Caenorhabditis elegans: one gene and its partners. The protein of the gene in region 2 purifies or fractionates together with the protein of the main gene of each other region. This does not show direct contact. Each region holds a gene or a part of one and is shown on either strand. Other genes may lie near its edges.

Region 1 (3,756 bases), on a different chromosome or scaffold from region 2:
ATCAAGCTACTTGGTGACAATGTCAGCGCTATTCAAAAATCAATCAATGTCGTGACCGATTGGTGCGCAAAATGGAAATTGAACCTTGCTGAAAACAAAACCAATGTTATCCACTTTGGAAAGCGGAATCCAAAAAATGAATATTATGCAAACGGAATGAAAGTCACCAAAAAGGACTCAGTGAAAGACCTTGGAATCTTCGTCGACGACAAGCTGAACTTCCAGAAGCACATAAACATCATTTCGAACTTAGCCCTTCTCAAATGCCGGCAGTTACTTCGATCCTTCCGCTCAACAAATGCCAGCCTTTACTTCAAATTGTACAATATCTATGTGCAGCCAATATTAAACTACGGATGTGAAATCTACAACCCGATCTCTAAAAATATGATTAAACAACTGGAGTTCCCACTGAAGTTTTTCTCGAGAAAAGTCTTCCAACGCTGCAATCTATCATACTCATCATATGAAAACCGTCTAGCTCAGATGAACCAAAAGTCAGTTCAACACCTGCGGATTCTTCAAATATTGAGGACCTATCACAACATCCTGTCTGGTGAATACCACTTTCCGAATGCCGCATCAACTGTGAGGAAGGCTCGCTCGCCCAGATATCCGTACATGATGTGCCCTTGTGGATCAATCAACGAAAGCTTCCTACTAGTCAATCTTCACCTATGGAACCGTATGTCCAAGTTACTTCCGGGGACAATGAGCCGTCAAATGTTTGCATCACGATTAAATTCTATCCCGTTTAATTATTTTTCCCACACAACTTGATCCCCTTAACTACTTTTGGTTTACAGGATCATTCAAATTATTCAAGTCTGTTTCTCCCGGTGATTATTCTATACTTTCTGTTTTGTTACGACGATTTGAATAAATATATATATATATATATATTCAATGCTTCGAGAGAATAAATGGGAATCTGAACGAGAAACTAAGATTTCTTATATCACATTAGTATATCACAATATTTAAAACTACATTATTTCTTGAAAAAATTATTCACAGCGTTTTTGAGTTTGAAGTTTTTCGATTAATGGTTAATTTCATGATTGACCAGAACACATCGTTTTATCAGAATCCTCAAAATCCTCATCGAAGTCGGAATCCTCGGATGTATCGGAATCCGAATCATATGGATCAAATGTTTCCTCTTTCTGCATTTTTTCATAATTTTCGTCCAATTCATTCACAGAACTCCCCCAATTTGCTTCATTATTACTGATCGAAGACACAGATTCCTGGAAAAATTCCAGACTTGACATATATTCTAAACAAGTTTTGTCAAATACCTGAGGTTGGTCTTCCTTGAAATCTTCGAACATCGTTCCGGTGGATTCTGCCAACTCATCGGGCACCCAGATCACTTTCTTGCACTCGTCCGTTTCACAATTCTCCATAGTTTCAACAGTAACCTATTAAATGTTAGCTTTGTAGGAAATATAAAATAAAATGAATCACCTGATACACATTGTTCTTTGCATTTCCTTTCAGCACCCACGAGATGTCTTGTCCGTCGTCTTTGCCAATTCCTGTTGCATAACGCTTGAACTCAAACAAGCTAAAAATTACCACTTTTTGAAATATTGGAACTTCTGAATGCTTACCTAAGCCGTTTATGGATTTTCAAGATCCACAATGGGCGAGGACGATCATTTTTCTTATGGCTCACCATTGTTGAATAAAGTCGAGGATCGAGTGAAACGGGAAATTGAGAAAGACAAAATGAAAAATAAATTTTCGCGCATCTTGGAGAGGTCAAAAATTCTAATTTTCGTCCTGACTTGCTCGTTTTAATAATTTCTATAATTTGAAAACAATTAATTTTTTACTAATTCAATGTATTATTTTTCTTTAGTTTTGCCTTTTAAAGCCGAGAAAATAAAGTCAACGTTTTTGCGAATAAAAAACAAAAAAAAAACAGGAATTTGTTTCTCAATGGGTTTCACCACGATTAGCCTTCGTCTGTGCAAAAAAACTACGGTAGTTGGAAAAAGTTTTTCGACATTTTATTTTACTGGATCCAGCTGGAGTTTTCAACCACTTTTTACGGGATTTTTGATTTGTTTCTCGTTTTTAAAAACTATCGTTTGAACAGTTTATGAATCTGCTTTCTAATTTCTAATTTTGAGCTTTTTATTCAGATGGCTTCACGTGTTAACATCGTTCAAGTCCAAATTCTCGATAATCCAGCGATGTTTGTCGACAAGTTCAAAATGGAGATCACTTTTGAAGTTTTTGAGCACTTACCACATGGTATGTATATTATTTACACTGCATAAAAATTAAGAATAATCAGATCTCGAATGGGAATTGGTGTACGTTGGATCTGGAACCTCCCGAGACTTCGACCAAGTTCTCGATTCCGCGCTCGTTGGCCCGATTCCTGAAGGACGTCACAAGTTTGTCTTTGATGCAGAACACCCGGATATCTCAAAGATTCCAGTCGAGGATATTGTTGGTGTCAGTGTGCTTCTCCTTCGTTGCAAGTACAACGATCAGGAGTTCATCAATATGGGATGGTTTGTGGCAAATGAGTACACCGACGAAGAGCTCAAAGAGAATCCGCCTGCAAAGCCGCTCATCGAAAAGGTTCTGTTCTTTTCAGGAAAAAAACACTTTATTTCAAAAGTCATTCACACAAAATTATTTTTGATAAATCAAGCACCAGTTATTGTCTAATGACAGTCCATTCCTGATCGTCAGAACGGTTTTCGTCGAGTCCAATAAAGCCCTCCACCTTACTTCCAACGAAGACGATTGCTCCGGCAATTATAAAACTTGCATAAACAATTCCTCCGATAGCTTTGTCGAAAATGTATGTAGCGCCTCTGTAGTTGCTATTTTTGGTCGCTACACTAGCATGAGTTGAATTATTTTGCGCTGCAGTAGCTTTCATTTTCACAATCTGAAGGAAATAAATAAATATTATTAAACGAGCAATGAAACTAATGAAATAATTAAAAATAAAGAACGAAAAATAGTTGAGAGTGAGACAATGACAATGAGAGAACTGAATACGTTGTGCACGCTACCTGTCGAGCAGATGGACATCATCGATCGGGCTCACGCACACAGATGTACTGTATGGGATGACGTAATAAACCATCTGTTGTGGAAAGAGGGAAAAAGTGAAATGCTCTAAATTAATCTCAAAGTTCCTTCAGTTAAAAAATGTAGATAATTCAGTTTTGACCTTGAATTTTCAAAAATTTTCAGCTTTCCCGTAAAATCGAAACCGAAGATCTTCGCGTCACCACATTCCCAATTCGGTGGACTGATGAGGATCCAGTCGCCGAGCCGGTTGATGAAGAGGCAAACAAAGTATTCGATGAGGATGATCTTATGCCATTGCATGATGATGGGCAGGATGATGACGAGGAGGAAGAGGTGGGTAGAATCTAGCATTATCTGAATATAATAATTTACTGTTATTCAGGACGATGATGAGACGGGTCCCAATACTGAAGAAGTTGACTTGAACGAGAGCTTCAACGAACGAATGGCGAATGCACATGACGGAACGGAGCAAAAGAACGGAGAAGAAAGTATGGAACACGATGGAGCAAGTGGAGATGTTGAAATGGGTGGTAAGTGATACTTTCAATCATAAGTTAGATTGATTTTAATTATTTTTTGTTTTGTCTGTATCTCCCTATGATTGTAGATAATCAACTTTTTGTTCAGATAAACACTGATACGAAAGCTACCGAATCGATGGTCGATCCCCTTTCCGATACAACAAAA
Region 2 (3,756 bases):
GGGATCCGTCGACTTTCAGCTGGTCCTGCTTCAGAATGTTCGCCCCGTGAAGTATCATGAAATTGATATTTAAGTCACCACCGTCGATTACCTGAAATCAAGATTTAAAATGCAGCAAATGGTTTAGAATTATAAAATACCTGATAATCAACTTCGAGGGTTTTGTGTTTTGCAAGATCCACAGGTTGAAAAAAGCACTGGAATTTTCCGGCAGGAACTTCGACTGTAAAATCGTACTCTCCACATAGAATAAATGGAGTGATGAGAAGAATTACAGTGATTATATTGGTGAATTCACCCATTGCTGAAATTAATTGATTTTAAGAGAAAGCCAACAAATTGACGATGCATTTTTGTAGTAAAGCTATTGAAAACGAGGCAATAACATATTTTCAAGACAATAATTTCAGAATTACAGCTTCGGAAAATTGTTTAATGCAATTATTTAATTCATTTATATCTTTAATTTTATAATAAATAAGATAAAAACAAAAAATTAACGAAAAACTCGCATAGTTTACGTGTAAATCTTCAGAGTTTGTCTGTGTCCAATAGAGCGCGATTACACCTATTTTTTTTCAAATCAGAATTTTTCTTTCACTGGCGTGATGGAAAGATAAATTACGATTAAAAACGTTCAATAGGTATAAATTTAATTTTTAGTATGTTTTGAAGTTATTTTCATAAGCTTTTAACGCAGAAAACACGACACCAAATAATTTCTGGGCCTGCTTTACAGGAACATTTTCAAAAATAACTCTTGGGTCTTGAAATGCTTACAGTAGTCTTCAGATTTCTTTTTTCCAGTTTTCATTTGTTTTGCGCATGCGTTTTTTGCGATAAATTGTTTAATTTCCTTCACAAATACATTATTTTTACATCCTTATACGTAGAAAACGACGGTATTTCAATTTAGGTAAAAATTTTCAGAGTTTACTGTGTGAAACATCTGAAAATTGATGCCACATGAAATCCTGAGTATCTTCTGTTCACAATTTATTGGTTTTAAACTTAAATATTGGTTTTGATCAGATTTTTTTCTAATTATTTCGAAATTCGGTTAGCCAACGATAGTGAGTAAATATTGTCAATTTCCACAATTTTCCTTTCGTCCATTTTTCTTCAAATTGATTTGATTATTGATTATTTTTCTTATAATTTTCTTGAATTTAAATTCCCCAGTCTATAGAAATTAATTTTAAACTAGTTCTCATTTTGTGTTTCCATAGAGCGCATTTACACTCTTCTCATGCACTTTTCCCCGCCTCGTGCCTGCCTCTCCCATCGCTCGCTCTCTCCAGCCATTCTCATTTCCACATTTACTTTTCACCCAACGATTTCATTTTCGAAAATGTTTTCTGTATAAAATGCATCCGATTTTTACAGTTTAGCTTTCGTTTTTCGTAATGGAAATATAGTAGTTTCGGTTTCATCGATTACTGCTTCATTCTGTACTCTCCCATAATTTTAAAACAAAAGCCGAATTCTTAGATTAAAACATCTACTTATTCCTCCACTATTATCTTTTCTCATCTCGATAAATTAAAATAAGAATTTTTACGTATCATTTTCACTTGTTACATTATCGATTTTTCGAAAATTTCAGCTTTTCAGAGATGCCTCGCTCAGACGGATTTTCTCCGCGCAAAAATTTGCGGAGATCTGCTCGAGATCACTCGCGTTCGTATGCGGGTCAGTGCAACGAGGATTTTGATGACATGTACGCACCATCAAGCAGAAGAGTGAGTTAATTCAAAACATATACATTTTTAAATTGACTATTTACAGAGAAGCAGCGGTGGTGTAGATGGAAATGGGTACACACGTTCCGGACGGAAAATTAATCACAATCGTTATTACGAAGAGGAATATCATGAGGCAATTAGCAGCGAGGAAGATGAAAGACGATATCGAACTCGAAGGTTTTTTGATAATTTTGACAAAAAATATTATAATTGTTAAAATTTAGAAGCTCGAATTCGATGACATACAGACAACAAGTAATGCAGGCGATAGATGAATCCAAGCGAAATCAAAAAGTGCCGCCTGCAAAACGAAAGCGGATATATTTGTCTGACGAGGAAGAGGAAGATTTTGCTGAAGCGGCGCACGTTGAGAACACAGTCCCCGAGCGTGCAACTCGACGTAGCACCAGAAGACGTTCATCAATGCACGAAGAACTTGGAGGTACACGAATCGCATAATTTCAAAAATATAAGCGAATTTCAGTTTCAGAACAGGAAGAGTCGCCGGTTCGCAGGACTCGCAAAGCCGCCAAGCGCCTTGGAAGTGAGCAACCAGAGGAAAATCTAGCAGCAGATGATCCGTTGCCAATGGAAGGAGGTGGCGAGATTGTGCTACCAATTGCTGAAATTGATGGAATGGCTGAACAAGAAAATGAGGACTTGATTGAGAAAATTGGAAGGGAAGAAGAGGAGGAAGGCGCTGAAGAAGATGAGCAAAGCGGTGAAAAAGATCCAGAAGAAGAAGAGGATGATAGCAGCAATGCAGAAAGTTCAGAGGAATCAACTGCTCCACGTCAATACAGTCTTCGCCGCCGTCAACCAGTTGTCCAGTTCAATGCATCAGAAGCTCGTGAAAATCGACGGGCTCGTCTTGAACATCATCGGGTTGCAAATCAAAACAGACATCACCGCAATCGAAATGGATCTCGTCGAAGACGAAGCGATTCGGATTCTGATAGTGATGATATGGTGCTTCCGAGACCTGATAAACGTCAATCGAGGCCTCATATGCATAACCGTGGAGAACGTGAACGTGGTCGATTTATGCCGATCAATATGACCGAAAAAGAATTGCAGTCTGCCCAACACATTCTGATGGATCGAATGAGAAAAACTGATGCTGGTCAAGGTGCAAGTGACATTGATCCAATGAGTGTTGATTCGTCGGTTGGTTTCGATCAAGTTGGAGGACTCGGTCATCATATTCAATCTCTCAAAGAAGTTGTCCTTTTCCCAATGCTTTATCCTGAAGTATTTGAAAAGTTCAGAATAAATCCGCCAAAAGGTGTCGTATTCTATGGGCCCCCAGGAACCGGAAAAACTCTTGTTGCACGTGCTCTTGCGAATGAATGCCGAAGAGGAGCCAACAAAGTTGCATTCTTTATGCGAAAAGGAGCTGATTGTTTGAGTAAATGGGTCGGAGAGTCTGAAAGACAACTTCGACTATTGTTTGATCAAGCATATGCCATGCGTCCATCAATTATCTTTTTTGATGAAATCGATGGTTTAGCTCCAGTTCGTTCTTCGAAACAAGATCAAATTCATGCGAGCATAGTGAGTACATTGTTAGCACTGATGGACGGATTAGATGGTCGAGGAGAAGTTGTTGTAATTGGAGCTACAAATCGATTAGATACTCTTGATCCAGCTCTACGAAGACCAGGACGTTTTGATAGGGAACTCCGTTTTTCCCTTCCTGATTTGAATGCCCGACGACAAATTTTAGATATTCACACTTCCAAATGGGAGGAAAACAAACCGATTCCGGAAACACTCGATGCTATTGCAGAGAGAACTAGTGGATATTGCGGTGCCGATTTGAAATTCTTGTGCACAGAAGCAGTTCTTATTGGATTGAGATCTCGATATCCTCATATCTACATGTGTTCTGAAAGGCTGAAACTCGACGTTGCCACCATTAAAATCACTTCTGAGCATTTTGGACATGCAATGCGGAGGATCACACCTGCTTCCAGACGAGATCTTACAATTCCATCGAGACCATTGGATG
Region 3 (3,636 bases), on a different chromosome or scaffold from region 2:
TTTATTAAACAAAAGTTTTTTCAGTCTTCATCTTCACGACGTTACTGATGCTGAACAACAAGCACAACTTCTCGAAGGCCTATTCCGCGAAGCTTTTAAATACAACGAATCCGACATAGGTTCTTCTACACGCCGATTATTCTCTGTTATACTTCCCCCCGTGTCTTTCATTGATTCCCACTCGTCCCATTGGAGGATTATCTAACTTTTCAGGTCACCCGTAGCTACCGTAATCCTCGCCCGTTTCAGAGCCGGCTGTCAAACAAACATTGCACTTTCTACCGGAATTCCGAGAATTTGAAAAGCTAATGGATCAATTCTTCAATGTGGTCATTCGTCAGACACCAGAATACAAAAGCAAGTTGTTCGCTTTTTTCGCCAATCGGCGATGAACCGGACGAGAAAATGGATAGGATGTAGTAAAAATCGAGGAAAATCAAAAGTAGAACTCGCTAGACATTTTTAAAAATTCCAGTTATTTTCTTTTTAAATCAATTTCTTTACTGAAACGGTGTGATCTCTACAAATCAAGCTGACGTTCAAACTGTCATATCAATTTGCCTGTTTATTTTACTCCGGTGTATTATATATATAGTACAATCACAATAAACCAGTTTTATATAATTCAGTTGTTTGTTTTAAGAAAAACATTGAATGAATGACACTGTACAGTTTTATTCGGAAAACATTCAAAGTGAAAATTCTTGAAAAGAAAAAAAATGAAAGAACGAATTATGTGAATTTTTGACAGTCACTGAAAATCGGGTGGGAATAAAAATAAGTTCAAAATATATAAATTAACTGGAAGTGAAATCACTGGACCATTTCGTTGTTTGTCTTGTCTGAGAGTGGCTCCGCCATCGATTCCGGAACTTTCGTGTCAGTGTTGATCTGAACGCCAGGCTCGTCATCTATAATTACAGGGTGAGAAGCACACATCACGAAACAAGAAGGGGTTAGAGAAACCAAGTAACACTTACCAGCCATATCAACATCCTCATTTGCTCCATCGTCCTCCATTTTCTCATCTGCGCCTTTCTGTTCGGCCCCGTCAAGTGCATTGGCCAATCGTTCATTGAAGCTCTCGTTCAAATCCACTTCTTCAGCGTTGGCCTCCATCTCGTCATCATCCTGAATAAAATTATTTAATTTTTGAATAAGTAAAATTCATTTTCTCACCTCTTCCTCCTCATCGTCATCTTCCTGGCCATCATCATTCAGAGGCATGAGGTCATCTTCCGCGAATACTCTGTTAGCCTCATCCTCGACAGGCTCTGCGACCGGATCCTCATCAGTCCAGCGAATCGGGAATGTGGTGATGCGAAGATCTTCAGTTTCGACTTTGCGGGAAAGCTTTTCGATGAGTGGCTGCGATGGGGGATTCTCTTTGAGCTCTTCCTCGGTGTACTCATTTGCCACGAACCATCCCATATTGATAAACTCCTGATCGTTGTACTTGCAGCGCAGGAGAAGTACGCTGACACCGACGATATCATCGACTGGGATCTTCGAGATATCCGGATGATCCGCGTCGAACACAAACTTGTGGCGTCCTTCTGGAATTGGACCAACGAGCGCTGAATCGAGAACTTGGTCAAAGTCTCGGGATGTTCCGGATCCGACGTAGACCAATTCCCATTCGAGATCTGAAAATTATCATTATTATCGATGAGTTTATATTTTCCTCTTTCTTACCATGCGGCAAGTGCTCAAAAACTTCAAATGTGATCTCCAACTTGAATTTGTCGACAAACATCGCAGGATTGTCGAGAATTTGTACTTGAACAATGTTGACACGGGAAGCCATCTGAAAGAAAAATATAATTAATTATTTAGGAGCCCACTTTTTCAAAATAAAAGACAATTCACAACAGTATTGGCATGAAACAAAATAAAACTGAAAAAAAAATCATTTTTAACAAAAAGTGTATCAATTTTAGGTAAATGAAATTGCAAAAATGAATCCGCAAATGATGAGAAAAAATGAGAAATCAAAAATTCCCGCAATTATGTAAGTTAAAATGGTGGCGATTGGCGCGTACCGGTGGAGCGCGCTTGCATTTTGTTCTCTGCGTTTCGAGGGGGTACGTTTTCGTAAGGGGATTTTTTCGTAAGGAACGCTTTCAGTAGGGCAATGTGCGGCGCGCCTTTTCGCAAGCCCGCCACACAGTCCTTCGCAATGCGCCGCACGGCTTTTTGCAATGCGCCGCACGCTTCTTCGTATTTATTTATTTATTTTTCCAACAGGAAATTTCGAACGGAATTCAATTAAAAACGGATTTTTAATGGAAATTAATTAGTTTTATTCGAGCTAAATACGGATATTTTCAGAATTTTCGATGACAAAAACGGGTTTCAATCGATTTCGAATCGATTGCGAAGGACTGTGCGGCGGGCTTGCGAAAAGGCGCGCCGCACATTGCCCTACTGAAAGCGTTCCTTACGAAAAAATCCCCTTACGAAAACGTACCCCCTCTGCGTTTCTCTTTCTGCGCGTACCCTCGTGAATGTTTCACGGTGGGCCTGAAATGCAAAAATTATTCGGAATTGCCTCAAAATTTAGTAAAATCCGTACATTTAGTCTCGAAGACATTTTCTAATGCAGCGGAGTGTCCTGTCTTGAAAGTTATGGAAAAATGTAATTTCCAGATTTTAACAGCTTTTTTAATAACGTTTACGCGTTTGTAGATGAAATTCACCAAGTTTCATAATTATGTAGTCATTTTTTCATACGAAGAAAGCGAATCTCAAATCACTTGAAACTAGATGGAATGAATGAAATTGTACACGGAAACGTTGAAGTTGAGTAGAGCCGAGTTAATCTTTTTTTTTTCGCTATTCTTCTCTCGACTAATCGGAACCTGAGCAATTAACAAGAACATTAAAACCGTGATGCTTTTTATTTACAGAAAAAGATAGTACATTCGTACTTTTCGAACAAATAATACCGCAAAAATAATATCCGTATATGAATAATCGTGGAATAAAAATAATACTTGCTTTTAAGAAAATCGAGATACCATATACAATGAAGAGGTTAAACTATGCATGGCGAGTAATAATAATAAGCTAAAACGATTAAACTGGTCTCATTGGGGTTCTCATAGTGGAATTTTCCATTGTATTTCCAAGTCCCATCGGTTTCGGAGAGCTCAGTGGACATGCTTCTTTGAAATTGGCTCCTGGACGAATTACGATCTCTCCGTATGGCTCTGATTGATCAACACTTATTGCTTGAGACTTGGCCAGGGTAAGCAACGAATAAAATTGCTCTGCAGCTTGCTTGCGATTCTTGGCAGTTGCTGTGACAGATGAGAAGTCCGCTTGTCCCGAAGTCTCAATATCCGCGGAGACTTTCTTTAGAATGTGCTTGGCGCGTTTCGCCCATTTGCCATCGTCTTCCTTGTAGGTCGAAGTATTTCCGAATCCATAGGCTTCAAGCTGGCCACGTCTGCTGGAATTTGAAGAACCGAACGGATCAGACCAATCCTCTGCGTCCTCGTTCTCTTTGTTCTGTAAAATAATATTTTAAGAGTTGAAATTCGCACCAAAAATTACCTCTCCAGCGAATCCACTCTGGATAGGGATCGGAGCACACTCTTGATGTTCTACTTCTTGTGGAAAATCGAAGTTGTC

What was found.
Region 1: the proteins of lex-1 (region 2) and asfl-1 fractionate together in Caenorhabditis elegans (co-fractionation; one large-scale study listed by BioGRID). This does not show direct contact.
Region 3: the proteins of lex-1 (region 2) and unc-85 fractionate together in Caenorhabditis elegans (co-fractionation; one large-scale study listed by BioGRID). This does not show direct contact.

What each region holds. Positions count from the first base shown.
Region 1 is NC_003279.8:9,656,121-9,659,876, forward strand, and holds the start of asfl-1 (putative histone chaperone asf-1-like protein), read left to right. Parts: upstream 1-2,153; coding exon 2,154-2,265; intron 2,266-2,308; coding exon 2,309-2,601; intron 2,602-2,680; coding exon of another isoform or gene 2,681-2,908; intron 2,909-3,228; coding exon 3,229-3,399; intron 3,400-3,448; coding exon 3,449-3,599; intron 3,600-3,696; coding exon 3,697-3,707; 3' UTR 3,708-3,756. Other genes in the region: lab-1 (Long arms of the bivalent protein 1), read right to left, coding at 1,056-1,250, 1,302-1,424, 1,471-1,570, 1,617-1,684; C03D6.9 (Aa_trans domain-containing protein), read right to left, coding at 2,681-2,908. UniProt on the Caenorhabditis elegans protein: Histone chaperone that facilitates histone deposition and histone exchange and removal during nucleosome assembly and disassembly.
Region 2 is NC_003282.8:12,077,859-12,081,614, forward strand, and holds the start of lex-1 (Tat-binding homolog 7), read left to right. Parts: upstream 1-1,614; 5' UTR 1,615-1,616; coding exon 1,617-1,742; intron 1,743-1,788; coding exon 1,789-1,922; intron 1,923-1,969; coding exon 1,970-2,187; intron 2,188-2,229; coding exon 2,230-3,756. Other genes in the region: tmed-1 (GOLD domain-containing protein), read right to left, coding at 1-91, 141-302. UniProt on the Caenorhabditis elegans protein: Thought to form a complex that enhances transcription from repetitive DNA sequences by modulating chromatin structure.
Region 3 is NC_003280.10:4,700,240-4,703,875, reverse strand, and holds unc-85 (putative histone chaperone asf-1), read right to left. Parts: upstream 1,808-3,636; coding exon 1,696-1,807; intron 1,647-1,695; coding exon 1,180-1,646; intron 1,132-1,179; coding exon 981-1,131; intron 912-980; coding exon 814-911; 3' UTR 657-813; downstream 1-656. Other genes in the region: F10G7.9 (C3H1-type domain-containing protein), read left to right, coding at 25-119, 250-392; scc-1 (Sister chromatid cohesion protein 1), read right to left, coding at 3,079-3,513, 3,559-3,636. UniProt on the Caenorhabditis elegans protein: Histone chaperone that facilitates histone deposition and histone exchange and removal during nucleosome assembly and disassembly.